Linked DNA regions of Solanum lycopersicum. The protein of the gene in region 3 binds, or shares a complex with, the protein of the main gene of each other region. Links are inferred from orthologs where the notes say so. Each region holds a gene or a part of one and is shown on either strand. Other genes may lie near its edges. The genes, in order: kinetochore protein NDC80 homolog, kinetochore protein SPC24 homolog and kinetochore protein NUF2 homolog.

Region 1 (4,152 bases), on a different chromosome or scaffold from region 3:
GTACATATTTTAAAACAGTTAAGTGGGAAATTTTTTATGCATTTTTGATTTCCAAATAGTGCAGGTACCTCTGACTCTGAGAGCATCTCCACTAGAAGATAGAATGCCACTTATTATGTCATCAGATTCACTTCCGATAAAATGTTATATATTATACAAAATTAAATATCGTGTGTGTGTGTGAGAGAGAGAGAGAGGACCAGTGTCCAATTCTATAGTGGGAAAGGATGCTGGCTAAACTTACATCATCAATGTGAGCCTGAAGAGTAGCCAGACGATTCCTCTTTGACTCTAATTTCATAGCCTTCTCAGATGACTGTTGCTGGAGATATATCAACTCTTCCATTTTCCCCATGGAACTCTTTTTCATCTCATCTTCAAAGGATGCAAGAGTGGGCTTTAATGTTTTTTTGTAATTTATACCTAATACCTCTGCTGGTGAGGACCCTTGGGGATTCAATTGATACTGAAATTCATTTCCAAGCTTTAACCTGAAATTTCAAATGAGGCTGTTTGTTGTCAGAGTAATTAAGGAAATGATGACGAGCAACAAGTAGAAGGAAAGTTCCACCGCAAACCACAGAAAACATACAAAAATATACTTGCTCCATCTCACTTTGACTGATCTAGTTTCAAACTTACAATCTTAACCCCTCCCAAGTTATGATCTAAATCATCAAATTGTAGAAAATTTGCTCCAACAGTTCAATCTGATAAGCTATGGAAAAGAAAAGAACTTTTCAAGCAGCAACAAGAAGGCACAGAAATCTGAGAAATGATTGTTGCATAGAGACACTCCCACAAAATCTTTTTTCCCGAGTGGCATTTGGGTGTTTTCGTCCATGCTTTGGCCAAATTCAAAAAGTGTATCATCAATTGCCGCATAATCCAACAATAAAAACATGAATATAGAATAAAAAATATTCTTCATGAAGGACCGTCATATAGCTGGAAATACAGAACTCAATTCCAACATAGCACCCAGTCAGGCAAGATACATCTAATTAATGCAGAGACTACAACATTGAAGGATCAATTGTTCTTTAAAAAATGGAGGCATGCTGCAGCCTTAGTTTCTAACCGGAGTGATTGGAAAAACTAAATTCAAGAATCTATAACTAAAAGGTATGATGAGAATCTTAGCATTATTGCCTTGTGACTAGTATAGTGTTCCTCATTCATATCTCAAGTCAAAGTTTAGAGGAGCAGCACTACAACAATGGGCTAAATTGTGATTCTCATATATCACCGTAGCTAACAATTCACTACCCATTAGAGAAAGAAAGGCATGTTTTTGGAAGTTAGTGAATCAATTAAACTCTGAGAAGCACAGATATAAAGTCAGTTTACATATAACTTTCAGCAAATTGCATTCCCATTAATCTGTCACCTAAATTATCTGCCGAGAACCCATTATAGAAGCAATCTAACAGTATCATGTTGTAACGGCCATTTAAACTTAAGTGAATGTTGATAGAAACAATCAATTGAGGGAAAACAATATAATGTCCTTCCAATCTTATCTTAGTAGCCATATTCTTATAGCTTTAGTCCAACTAAAATAGCACAGCAATGCAATATATCCATGTTCATAGAACAACAAACACTTATATTACGAAAAATATTGAATCTCATGCTGTTAAATGGAAAGTAAGATACTCTTATTTCAAACAACATAAATAACAGGAGAGGGAATGACAACCTCCTGATAGATTGGTTGCACTCAATCATTAGCTCCTCAAGCTTCTTGTACATGTTCCCAATCGCAGAGTCGAGGTCCCAAGCCTTCTCCTCCCATTCAATCCTCTGGTTCTCAATATCCCCAATATCCCTTTCCAAAGCATGCAACTCCCTCTTCATCCTATCTGCATCCCTGGAATTAATCCCTTGTTCCTCCACCCTCTTCTTCAACTCCTCATTCTCTGCACAAATGCTCTCTTTCTCTGTAACCTTAGTCTCTAACCCTTTTTCTTTCTCTTCCACCATCTTATCCATTTTCACTATATGCCCTTCTAACTGTTCAATGATAGCCTGAAACTTCTTTACATCTTCCTCCAACGCACTCTTCTCCTTCTCCAACGTCTCTCTTTCCGATGGTCCTGTCTTCATTTCTTCCAACTTTTCCTCTTGAGCCTTCACATTCTCCTCCAAGACATTCACATCCTCAACCAACCGCTCCTTATGTTGTTCCAACTCTTGCATAAATTGGCGATCCAATTCATCTACTTGATCATCTTTCCCCCTAAAGTAATGCAAATAACTCTCTACAGTATATCTCAATTCCTTATTACTCGGAGCTAGTGGTTGAGCCGAACTCATCCGGTAATCATCAAATTTACATAGCTGAACAAGCCAGTGAATTGCTGCAAGTAGACTAGGCCAGGAATGAGGCGTCCCAGGGGCGCGTAATGCAGATTTGTTCAATTTCACGGGGCAATTTAGGGATTTCAGTAGGGTTTGGAGATCATCTTCGAGTTTATGCGACTCTGCTAAGGAAAATCCGAAACGAGAGAGAATGAATTTTAGGGTTTCGGTGATATCTTTTGCAGAAGGGAGAGGATGTTTGAGAGTAAAAGGGAGAGAGTGGGAGGAAAGGTAAGCATTGATTGTACGCAGAGCAGAGAGTTGATAGGAGCGGTCAGAGATGGGGATAGCGGAGGACCGAGTGTTTACACCGGCAGATGAAGGCCGGCTACTGGCGAAGCTTGCGTCGGAATCACGCCCGCCAGTGGAGATAAATTGCCTTGGGTCGTTTATCGGAGTCGGTGGTGGATGACGGCGATCCGGCACTGCAGAATTGGTACGACGGCGTCCGGCGCCTCTCATTGTTGAGTAAACTGCTGCTTGATCTCGGTGGCTAGTGAAAGGTACTTGTGTTTCTGCTTTGAAATTGGAAAATGAGTAATGGCGGCATTTCAATTAGAATTTCGGTTTAATTGTTTTTTAATTATGCTGTTTATAAATTTGGCCAAATAGACGTATCATGTTGGATTTTCACCCCTCATATATCTCAACTACGTTATTTTCCTATTAAATAATTAAAATTTTCATATCTGATGTGAAATCAGATTTTTAAAGGATATTAATAAAGGATACATACGTTGTTTCACAATTCATTAGTTCAATTAATAATGAAAATATTCGAGAACAATTGTATTTTATTTAGGTCATTTGAATACATTAGAAAATAAATGAGACAAACACGATTTTATCTTTATTTCTTCAATCAAAATTATTACAATTCGAACACAATTGAAAACATTTACAATTAAAAAGCCGATCAAAATCAACTAACAATATTCTAAAAGAACAAATTATGAATGATTCAATAATTTAATAAAAAAATGATATAGTTAAGATATCTAAGGAAAAAAACTCACCAAATTTAAAAATCTATTTACGTAGGCCTATAAATTTCAATCCTTTAAATTTGTCAACTAAACATTGATTTTCGTCAAAGTTGAAGGAGTAGTTTATTTACCTAAAAAGGTATTGCATGTTACCTTTTGCTTAATTTAATTTAAATGATACTTGTCTGATTTATAAAATTAATCAATAATTTATTCTTTTGTATTTATTTTGTTCTTATTATTAAATATTACTTTTATTTTTTTAATATTTTGAACTCCCTTCATTTCAAATTAATTGAATTGTTAAAACATTTTCTTATTTTACAATTAACTTAATTGTTTAATTTTCAAAACTATTATTATAATGTTCTTCCAATTTTACCTTTCATTAGTTAATATTGAAATTAATTATTAATTAATATTTAATTATTTTAATTATAAATTTAATAATAATTAATAAGAGTAAAAATAAAAAATTATGCTTAATTTATATTAAAAAAAAATCTTAAATGTATGAAATATCTCATCAATTTAATTAATTGAAATGGAAGAAATATTATTAAAATAATTTGATAAAATTTCATCAATTATTTATTACTTTTAAATATTTGTCTGAAGACTATGATAAATAATTATCGTTTAACAGAGGGAGGTAGAAGGGTCATGTTGGCAAAGAAAAAAAAGTTTACCTAAAATTTCCTCCTTCTATTCCATTTTAATAAATCAATTAAACTTATATTATTTATAACACTTCGTATTCTCTCTATATATAAATAAATATATATATCATGATGTGCCACTT
Region 2 (4,302 bases), on a different chromosome or scaffold from region 3:
GATGGTCATAAAAGCTTTTCATTAAGGGTCAAATGGGAAGTGTAAAGTTAATTGTTTACAAATTTAGAAATGTGTTATTCTTTTCGGAACGGGCTAAAAAGAAAAGTGTATCCCATAAAGTGGGAAGGAGGGGTATGTTTGGTTGCGTCCAGACAAAGTCAAATCAGGTGTATATTCAATTTGTAGAAATACTTAGTTGGGCGATAGTTACACCTAGACATCCAAAGATGTAATGTGGTAGAACTTGGTCGCACCAGATGGGATGTTAATGGACTATCTTAACAGTGATTGGCATATGGCAGATACATTCAAATATGTGTACCATGTTGCAATATGGAACTGAGTAGGCAAATTATCCACAGAATATGATGAAAACATGTCAGACCCTCCCAACCTCTTGAGATACTTTGACAGCATAAAGTTGCAAAAGCTTAACGAGTCAACATATCAATATCTTTTTCTTTTTTGATGACCGAGAAACCTCAAGGGCCAGCAGGCACGGTTTGAACTTAGAGGATGAGGAGGAGTCAACAAATGCCACGATGGGATTGTTTCAACGAAATTTGTAGAAGTATGTTGGAAGCAAATGCCTGACATAATCATAAACATATTAAAGTACAAGAGGTTATGATTACTTACTCAGCTCGAAGATGATCTTGCTCAATTTTCTTGAGCAATTTCCTGTGCTCCTCAATAGAGTCTCTTTGGCGATCTAAATCATTGATCTCATCGGTTATAACTGTGTTTAAAAAAGGTGTCAATCAGTAAGCATAACACTAAATTATCTGAGAAATACAAATTCATGCATCTAACGTTGTTTAATATACTTATCTAAGTTCTTCTCTAAGCAGTTGTTCTCTCTGGATCTCCTGTTCTAACTCTTTCTGCAGCTTATCTATTTCAGCCTCTGCAGCAGCTTCAGATTGTGCTTCTGTTGTTCTCTGCTTACATGCATTTATCTTTCCTTGATAATCTGAGTGTATGCAATGACTTGAAATTAGTCATTTAATACTTTCAAATTCACAAATCCGAACATCTCCCAGTACAATCATAAATTAATGCTTGAACAAAGACACTTAATACCAACATAATTCCAATTTCCAACTTATTTAATAAGAAAAACAACATGTATGTCTGAGGCCAGAGAGAAATCATAGGAGCAGGGTTGGGCCCTCGAAAGGAACCAAAGTAGTGGTCTGTTGAGCTAATCATTAAACTAGACACACGTACTGGGCCTCTACATATTTTTGCATTATAATTGGCTAAAAGGACTTCAACTCGGAAACAAACTGCACCAAAAGTAGAAATATCACCAAAACTATCAGGAATAAGTAGGTAATAGCACCAATTTTTACACTATATATAGTACATTCCAAAAAAATCTCATGAGGGTTGGCGTGAGAGGATCCAGATTCCAGCAGTAGTACTCATGAAGGTATAAAAGACAGAGACAGAGACTCCACACTCCCCAAAATGTTACTAATAAAAGAAACATCCAGAAATGACGATATTTTGCAAGAAGAAATTTTGACCTGACACTCCAGTAAGCTAGCAAACAGAAAATGGTGTTTCAGGTCAACGTTAAGAGACTTATCCACTAATAATTGGTACTAAGAAAAAGAATCATCCAGATGCAAGAACATTGTAAAGTTTGTCTACATTGATTCAAAATTCCAATCTTACGCCGAGTTTTTTTTTCACTACATAGTTTTTAAGGATCCAGGAAGATCCTATTGCGTCGTGGTGACCCTGAGGTTTGAACTATGCACTGTGGTTCAACTTACAGCCTCAAGGCAGATGTCCCTTGGGTTCAATCTTTAAACTAATTAAACTAATAAGAAGTTGATTCAACCCCCATTTTTCTCTTTCATTAAAGGAATGTTACTGAATGAAACATCCAAAAAAGATATCACTAAAAAGCAAGGTTTCAAGTGTAAAGAAGTATCTATAAAGCAGAAGTGCTACGAGGAGTAAAGAAACTGCATTAAACAGCAAAGCACATTGTAAACTCAGTCTATATCAGATTAAAAGTTGCAATCTTTAAGCCAATGTTTTTTCTCTCTCACATTGTTCATAGGAAGTAGGGAAGGTCCAGTCAGGCACTACTAAGCTAGTATGAGTGACACCACCGAGATCTGCAGCTTAAATTGTAACCTCCTGACCAGTAGGTTGTCTCTTGGGATAATCCATTAGCTAAGGGAGCATTTGGCCATAAAATTCAACTTGCATTTTCAAGAATTTGAAAAACACCAAAAACTTTCTTCACTCCAAATCAATCATAAAAATTCAGAAACAACCCAGAATTTGTATTCATGGCCAAACCCAACTCCAATTTTCAAATACTCACAATTTTCATGGCCAAATGCTTCAAGTAAACACAGAAAGAGGTTCACTTAGTAACCATCCTACCATTTCCAAAACAAAAATATCAAAATTCAACAGTAAGAACATTATACACACAATTCCAAAGGTTCAATCTTGAAGCTAACTTATTCTTTATCACATAGTCTTATGACTCTGAGGATTGGGGAGATCTCCAACTGAGAAAGATTCAAACTTTAAGCCACTAAGAAATTCAACAAACCCTCAATTTTACAAAATTAAAAACGAAATACAAGAACCCCACCTTGAATGGAATTCTGAAGAGCCTGGTACTCAGATTGGCAGTGTGATTGAAGGGCATTAAATTGCTCTTTACACTGATTCAAGAAGCTGACATCTTTATCTTCTTTCAAAAACTGAACAAGATCCTTACTGAAGGAGATCAGCTTCTCTACATCCACGTTATTCGACCCATCCACCATTTTCGACCTCTCCAGACCAAAGTTTAGGGCTTTTTTCTCCCTCCGAATGTAGTAATTTGAAAAGAAGAATGATTAGCGGAGTTCACAGAAAAATAGAACTCCTCCCTCCCGTTAAATTATACTATGTACTTTGTTACGTTTATTATTTTATTAAATTATTTTAAAAAATAATTTGATAAATAATATTATCATATTTAATTTGACTAATTTTTAAAATGAAATGAAATTATATTGATTTAATAATTAAATAAATATTAAAAGTATTATAAATTGCAATATCTTACCTATCTGATGAAAAATCAGTGAAATGTGAGTTAAACATACATCTTCGTTACATTTTTAAGTCGAATTAACCTTTTAGCATAAATTTATGTTTGATTTTGATAATTTAAGTATATTTTTATTAAAATATTTTACTATACTAGATAATTGAAGGCCCGTTCACGTGCTTAATATAATTAATTATCTTTTCAATTTTAATTTAAAATTTTTATCTAAATTCATATCTTATTTTATTATATTTTTTAAAATTTTCTACCATTTAAAAAAATTACAAAAATTCTCTCAGCTACGTTCTTATCCTCTGTGTACATCAATATCTCCTCTCGGATACATCTATATTCTCTCTCGGCATCTTCATCCCCTCTTTAATATATCTCTATCCTCTCTTGGATACATCTCTCTCCTTTCAGATACACCTATATTCCCTCTCGAATACATTTCTTCTCTCTCTGATTCATCCACGAGATATGTTTCTGCAAGTTTTCTGAATAATATCGCGACCGATGTTTTTGCATTTCTGTTGATGAATATATGAACTTTTTGTAATTTAAAAAAGAGTGGAGATACAATGTAATTAACTTTTAACACTATGAAAATTTATGTGGTATATTTTTCTGTGCAGTCAATTTCAAAAGAATAACGTATCAATATATTTAATAACATTTTGACTTCAAAAATATTCATTTTATTCTTAGTAAGATGATTTAAAATCATATGAACATCTATGGCTAGTTTTAAACTACAACAAAAAGTGTTTTTTTTTAAAAAAAAGAAAATACTTCATGTTAAAGTCAAATAAACATTACATAAATCAAAATGAACTAACTGACTACAAACTTTAGATCAATTTTATATTTATGAAATTTAAGTTTTTGTAACTATTTTGCCTTTTAACAAAATTTAAAATGAAAATACTAAAGTTTTTTTCACAATTATTTTTATAGTAATTTTTTTTAACAATATTTTGTCGATAATATCAAAATTGTAATAAAACAAGATAATAAAATAACTTAACTTTTTTGAAATTCAAGTATTGATATCAATTGAGAAAACATTTATTTTAAAGTTATAAAGCATTTATAATCTAATATTTGATGCGCTCCTTGCCCTCGACGAATGACACTATCTTATCATAAGAAGTAAAATCAAAATTAAAAAGTGCAGCTCACTATTATATGAAAGTCATTATGAGTTAATTGCCACTCGTTAGAATATG
Region 3 (3,375 bases):
TGCTGATGGTTCACTAGATTTATAAATCTTGCAAAGACGCTTGATTTTTTAACTACAAGGTTGATTAGGTGCCTGTGTGTTAATTGTGAAATTGTGAGATATCATACAACAGAGACTGTTGCTATGCATCTTATTACACGAAACTAGAGTTCTCTTCTGAAACTCAATGTGGTTTGTTTGAGGTTTCTGTTTGATGAATTTGTTTGAGTTTCCATTTCCCAATATTTAATTTCAGCTTCTCTTTTGAATTTTAAATTGAATTTCGTCGGCTACAGTTGAACCCGATTCAGAAAGTGGTGATTCGCAAAAGAAGAGTGAAATGTCGAGATTTGATTACCCAACACTCCCCCGACAAGACATCATCGCTGTATTAGGGGAAGCTCAAATAGCGTCTGTCTCCGACGAAGATCTCATCAAACCCACTCCCGACTTTGTCACTAAACTCTACTCCAGCATTCTTCTCCATATCGATACTCTACAGTATTTAATAATCCAACCTTTACTTCTCTGTTTCAATCAATCATATTTTATTTTTAATTACTTTCTCTTGTCTTTTAGGGATGATCATGATCAGGTGGATTTCTCCGCTCTGGAATACCTTGAGAACCCGGATCTTCATGTCGACTCTTTTCGGACTATTAATTTGTTTCATAAGATAAGGAACATGTTGTCTGCTTTGGGTTGTCCAGAGATATTTACTCTAAGAGATTTGATCAAGCCTGACCCTGATCGTACCCGCTTCTTTGTCGGAGCCATCCTCAACTTTTGTCTTCACAGGTCCCATTCACTTTTTACTTTCTTTTGTGTTTTCAAAGGGCTTTTTTTGTTAACTTAGGCAAACATATGCTTCTCTGTTTGTTTTGAATCGACCACTTGCTGTCTTTGTTTACTGAGGCAACCATATATCTTGCATACTTTTACAAACAATCATTCTTCACCATCTCATTCATCAACCTCCAAAGAGATACAAAATATGGATAAACTTTGTCTTTCTAGTTTACCTAAGTTTGGCAAGCAAATATGCTTCTCTGTTTGTTCTGATAAATGAAAATACTTTGCAGAAAAAATGCTTCCAATTAATAGCTAGAATGAGGAAGTTTACTAGCTTTTGCCTGAGATTTCTGTTCTTTTCTTTTATCCTTTTACTGAATTATCACCCCATCTCACCCCAAAACAAAGTGTTGCTCAATTTTTCTCTTTAATATGTTGTTGACAAATTTAGGGACACTAAATTAAATGCTATAAGGCCGATTGTGGAAGATCTGACTCTCATTGATGAACAACGACTAGCTCTGGAGGCTAGAATATCTCAGGTATCTGAAGTAGTAGAAAACATTTTTACAGGAAGCTTCTTTCGCAAAGTTTCTCTCAAGTTACTTACACGGTACCTCACAGTTAAATGAAGAGATTGCAGTACAAAATGAATCAAGAGAAAGGGAGATGCCTTTGGTTCAAGAAATAGATTCTAATGTTAAGGAACTGAGGCAAACAATTTCTGGTCTTAACAATCACCAAATGTCGTTGAAGGCCTCAATAAGAAAACTTAAGGAAAGGGCTAAAGAGATAGATGAAAAGGTCAGCTGTTTGGCTTTTTTCTCCTTTTAATGTCATATTTGTTTCATGAATTGCTAATAGCCTAACACTGGATTATCTGCCATATGTTTGGTGTTGGCTTACTTTGGGTCCTATGTGTCTAGGGATCTTTTTATCCCAGTAAAAGATTTGTATGATAGAGATTTACATCAGTGGAAAATATAGAGAATTGTTGAGTATTCTTGAACATAATTGGTTGCTCACAACTTGAATTTATTATTACAAAGTAAGGACTACTTTTTTTCTTTCACTCACTTTCTTGCAACTTTGTTTGTTGCTCTCCTATTTCTCACTTGCTCCTCACACTTCTCACTTGATGACTTACTTGAGCACACATACATCTCAAATGACCATCCTTTTTTATAGGTGGTGATGGAAAAACTTAGTTGAGCATTGTAGAATAAACCCTTCCACTTATTTCTGGAATTGCCCTTCCTAGAATATTCGTAGACCTGCCTCTCTAGAACTTTCATTCTAGAGCTCTTATTTCAATTCTCTATAAGTCTCTAATATTTTAGATTCTTCTTTGAAATATCCTGGATGTTAAGTTGGTGATAACTGTTCAACGAATACTTTGAGTACTTCTAAATAATGTCAAATATTGGCTTGATATGAGTATAAATAGAACAACATTGTCAATGTGGATTCATATGACCGATGTCAACTTGCTTGGAATTTAAGTGCAATTGTTGTGTAATGGTAGTATTTGGGCTATCTTGTGCACACCTCAATTATATCTCATGTACTCGCCATCTCCTACCAATAAAAGTATAGAGTAACTTTACCTATCAAAGTTTAGACATATGGGAGGAAATCACCTAGTGTTTTGTTGGTATTGGACCCTGGTCTTCCATGAATTTCACCCACTATATTAACGCTAGGCCACACCCTTGGGCACAGTTACTGTTTATCGCATATTATTGAATACAAGCTAGATATCTGTGTTATGAACTAATATTCCAATTGCATTTTGTCTCCTTCCAGATTTCTAATGCAGACTTTGCATTGGTACAAGCTGTTCATGACAATGCCAATTTGCGTTCTAAGATTGTCCAATCACCAGATAAGCTTCAGGTATGAGTTATTACTGACTGTTGAGCTGGTTTTAAAAGAGTATGCATCAACTGTGTCTTCTGGATATCTTGTGCAAGTGATGTGGTTTGTTATTTGTCAAGGGTGCTATGACATTGAGCATGCTGGTATATTAATACTGAACATAATTGCAAATATGACTGATTTACATGCTGTAACTAAAGTATCTAATTTGGATTTCTTACATTTCTCTTGCTTTGATGAACCAATGACATATCTGCCTCTGTTCTCTGAGGCGTGGTTCCACTTTCTCTAAGTTAAGATCTTTCTTTTAGCTAGATCATTTCAAATTCTGTTTGTGAAATTAATTGCAAGTTTTCTGCGCTTGCTCCTCTAACATCAAGATGCTGCAGCCTTTTCGTTTTATGTGTTAATTTTTTGACTATTGAATTTTTTAGAGAGCTCTGGAGGAAAAGAAATCATTTCAAGCTGAGATAAGGAATGCTGAAAGAGCAGCAATGCAGTCTTTTCAAGATAAAACAGCAATTCTTGAGGTTTATACAAAGGTACTGTTCATCCAATACAACCTGTATACTATATTTTCAACTCATAAATTGCATCTATACCCTTATTTATGCTCAATAAACGAGAAATGACATAGTAGTATGTAAAAGAGAAGTTGCAGGAGATTTATAAAAAGTGGAATGATGTGCTAGCCTCTCATTTTTGTGATATACTCTTTGCACGAGC

What was found.
Region 1: kinetochore protein NUF2 homolog (region 3) and kinetochore protein NDC80 homolog share a complex: the UniProt entries of both Arabidopsis thaliana proteins name them as parts of the NDC80 complex. The link is inferred for Solanum lycopersicum from reciprocal best matches to the Arabidopsis thaliana genes AT1G61000 and AT3G54630.
Region 2: kinetochore protein NUF2 homolog (region 3) and kinetochore protein SPC24 homolog share a complex: the UniProt entries of both Arabidopsis thaliana proteins name them as parts of the NDC80 complex. The link is inferred for Solanum lycopersicum from reciprocal best matches to the Arabidopsis thaliana genes AT1G61000 and AT3G08880.

The regions. Positions count from the first base shown.
Region 1 is NC_090800.1:89,053,560-89,057,711, forward strand, and holds the start of kinetochore protein NDC80 homolog, read right to left. Parts: upstream 2,950-4,152; 5' UTR 2,827-2,949; coding exon 1,703-2,826; intron 492-1,702; coding exon 245-491; intron 1-244. UniProt on the Arabidopsis thaliana protein: Acts as a component of the essential kinetochore-associated NDC80 complex, which is required for chromosome segregation and spindle checkpoint activity to ensure proper cell division.
Region 2 is NC_090803.1:60,966,876-60,971,177, forward strand, and holds the start of kinetochore protein SPC24 homolog, read right to left. Parts: upstream 2,917-4,302; 5' UTR 2,805-2,916; coding exon 2,627-2,804; intron 974-2,626; coding exon 831-973; intron 741-830; coding exon 640-740; intron 1-639. UniProt on the Arabidopsis thaliana protein: Acts as a component of the essential kinetochore-associated NDC80 complex, which is required for chromosome segregation and spindle checkpoint activity to ensure proper cell division. Required for the maintenance of plant architecture.
Region 3 is NC_090809.1:11,522,649-11,526,023, forward strand, and holds part of kinetochore protein NUF2 homolog, read left to right. Parts: 5' UTR 1-182; intron 183-275; 5' UTR 276-319; coding exon 320-480; intron 481-558; coding exon 559-777; intron 778-1,222; coding exon 1,223-1,313; intron 1,314-1,395; coding exon 1,396-1,575; intron 1,576-2,577; coding exon 2,578-2,667; intron 2,668-3,083; coding exon 3,084-3,191; intron 3,192-3,375. UniProt on the Arabidopsis thaliana protein: Acts as a component of the essential kinetochore-associated NDC80 complex, which is required for chromosome segregation and spindle checkpoint activity to ensure proper cell division.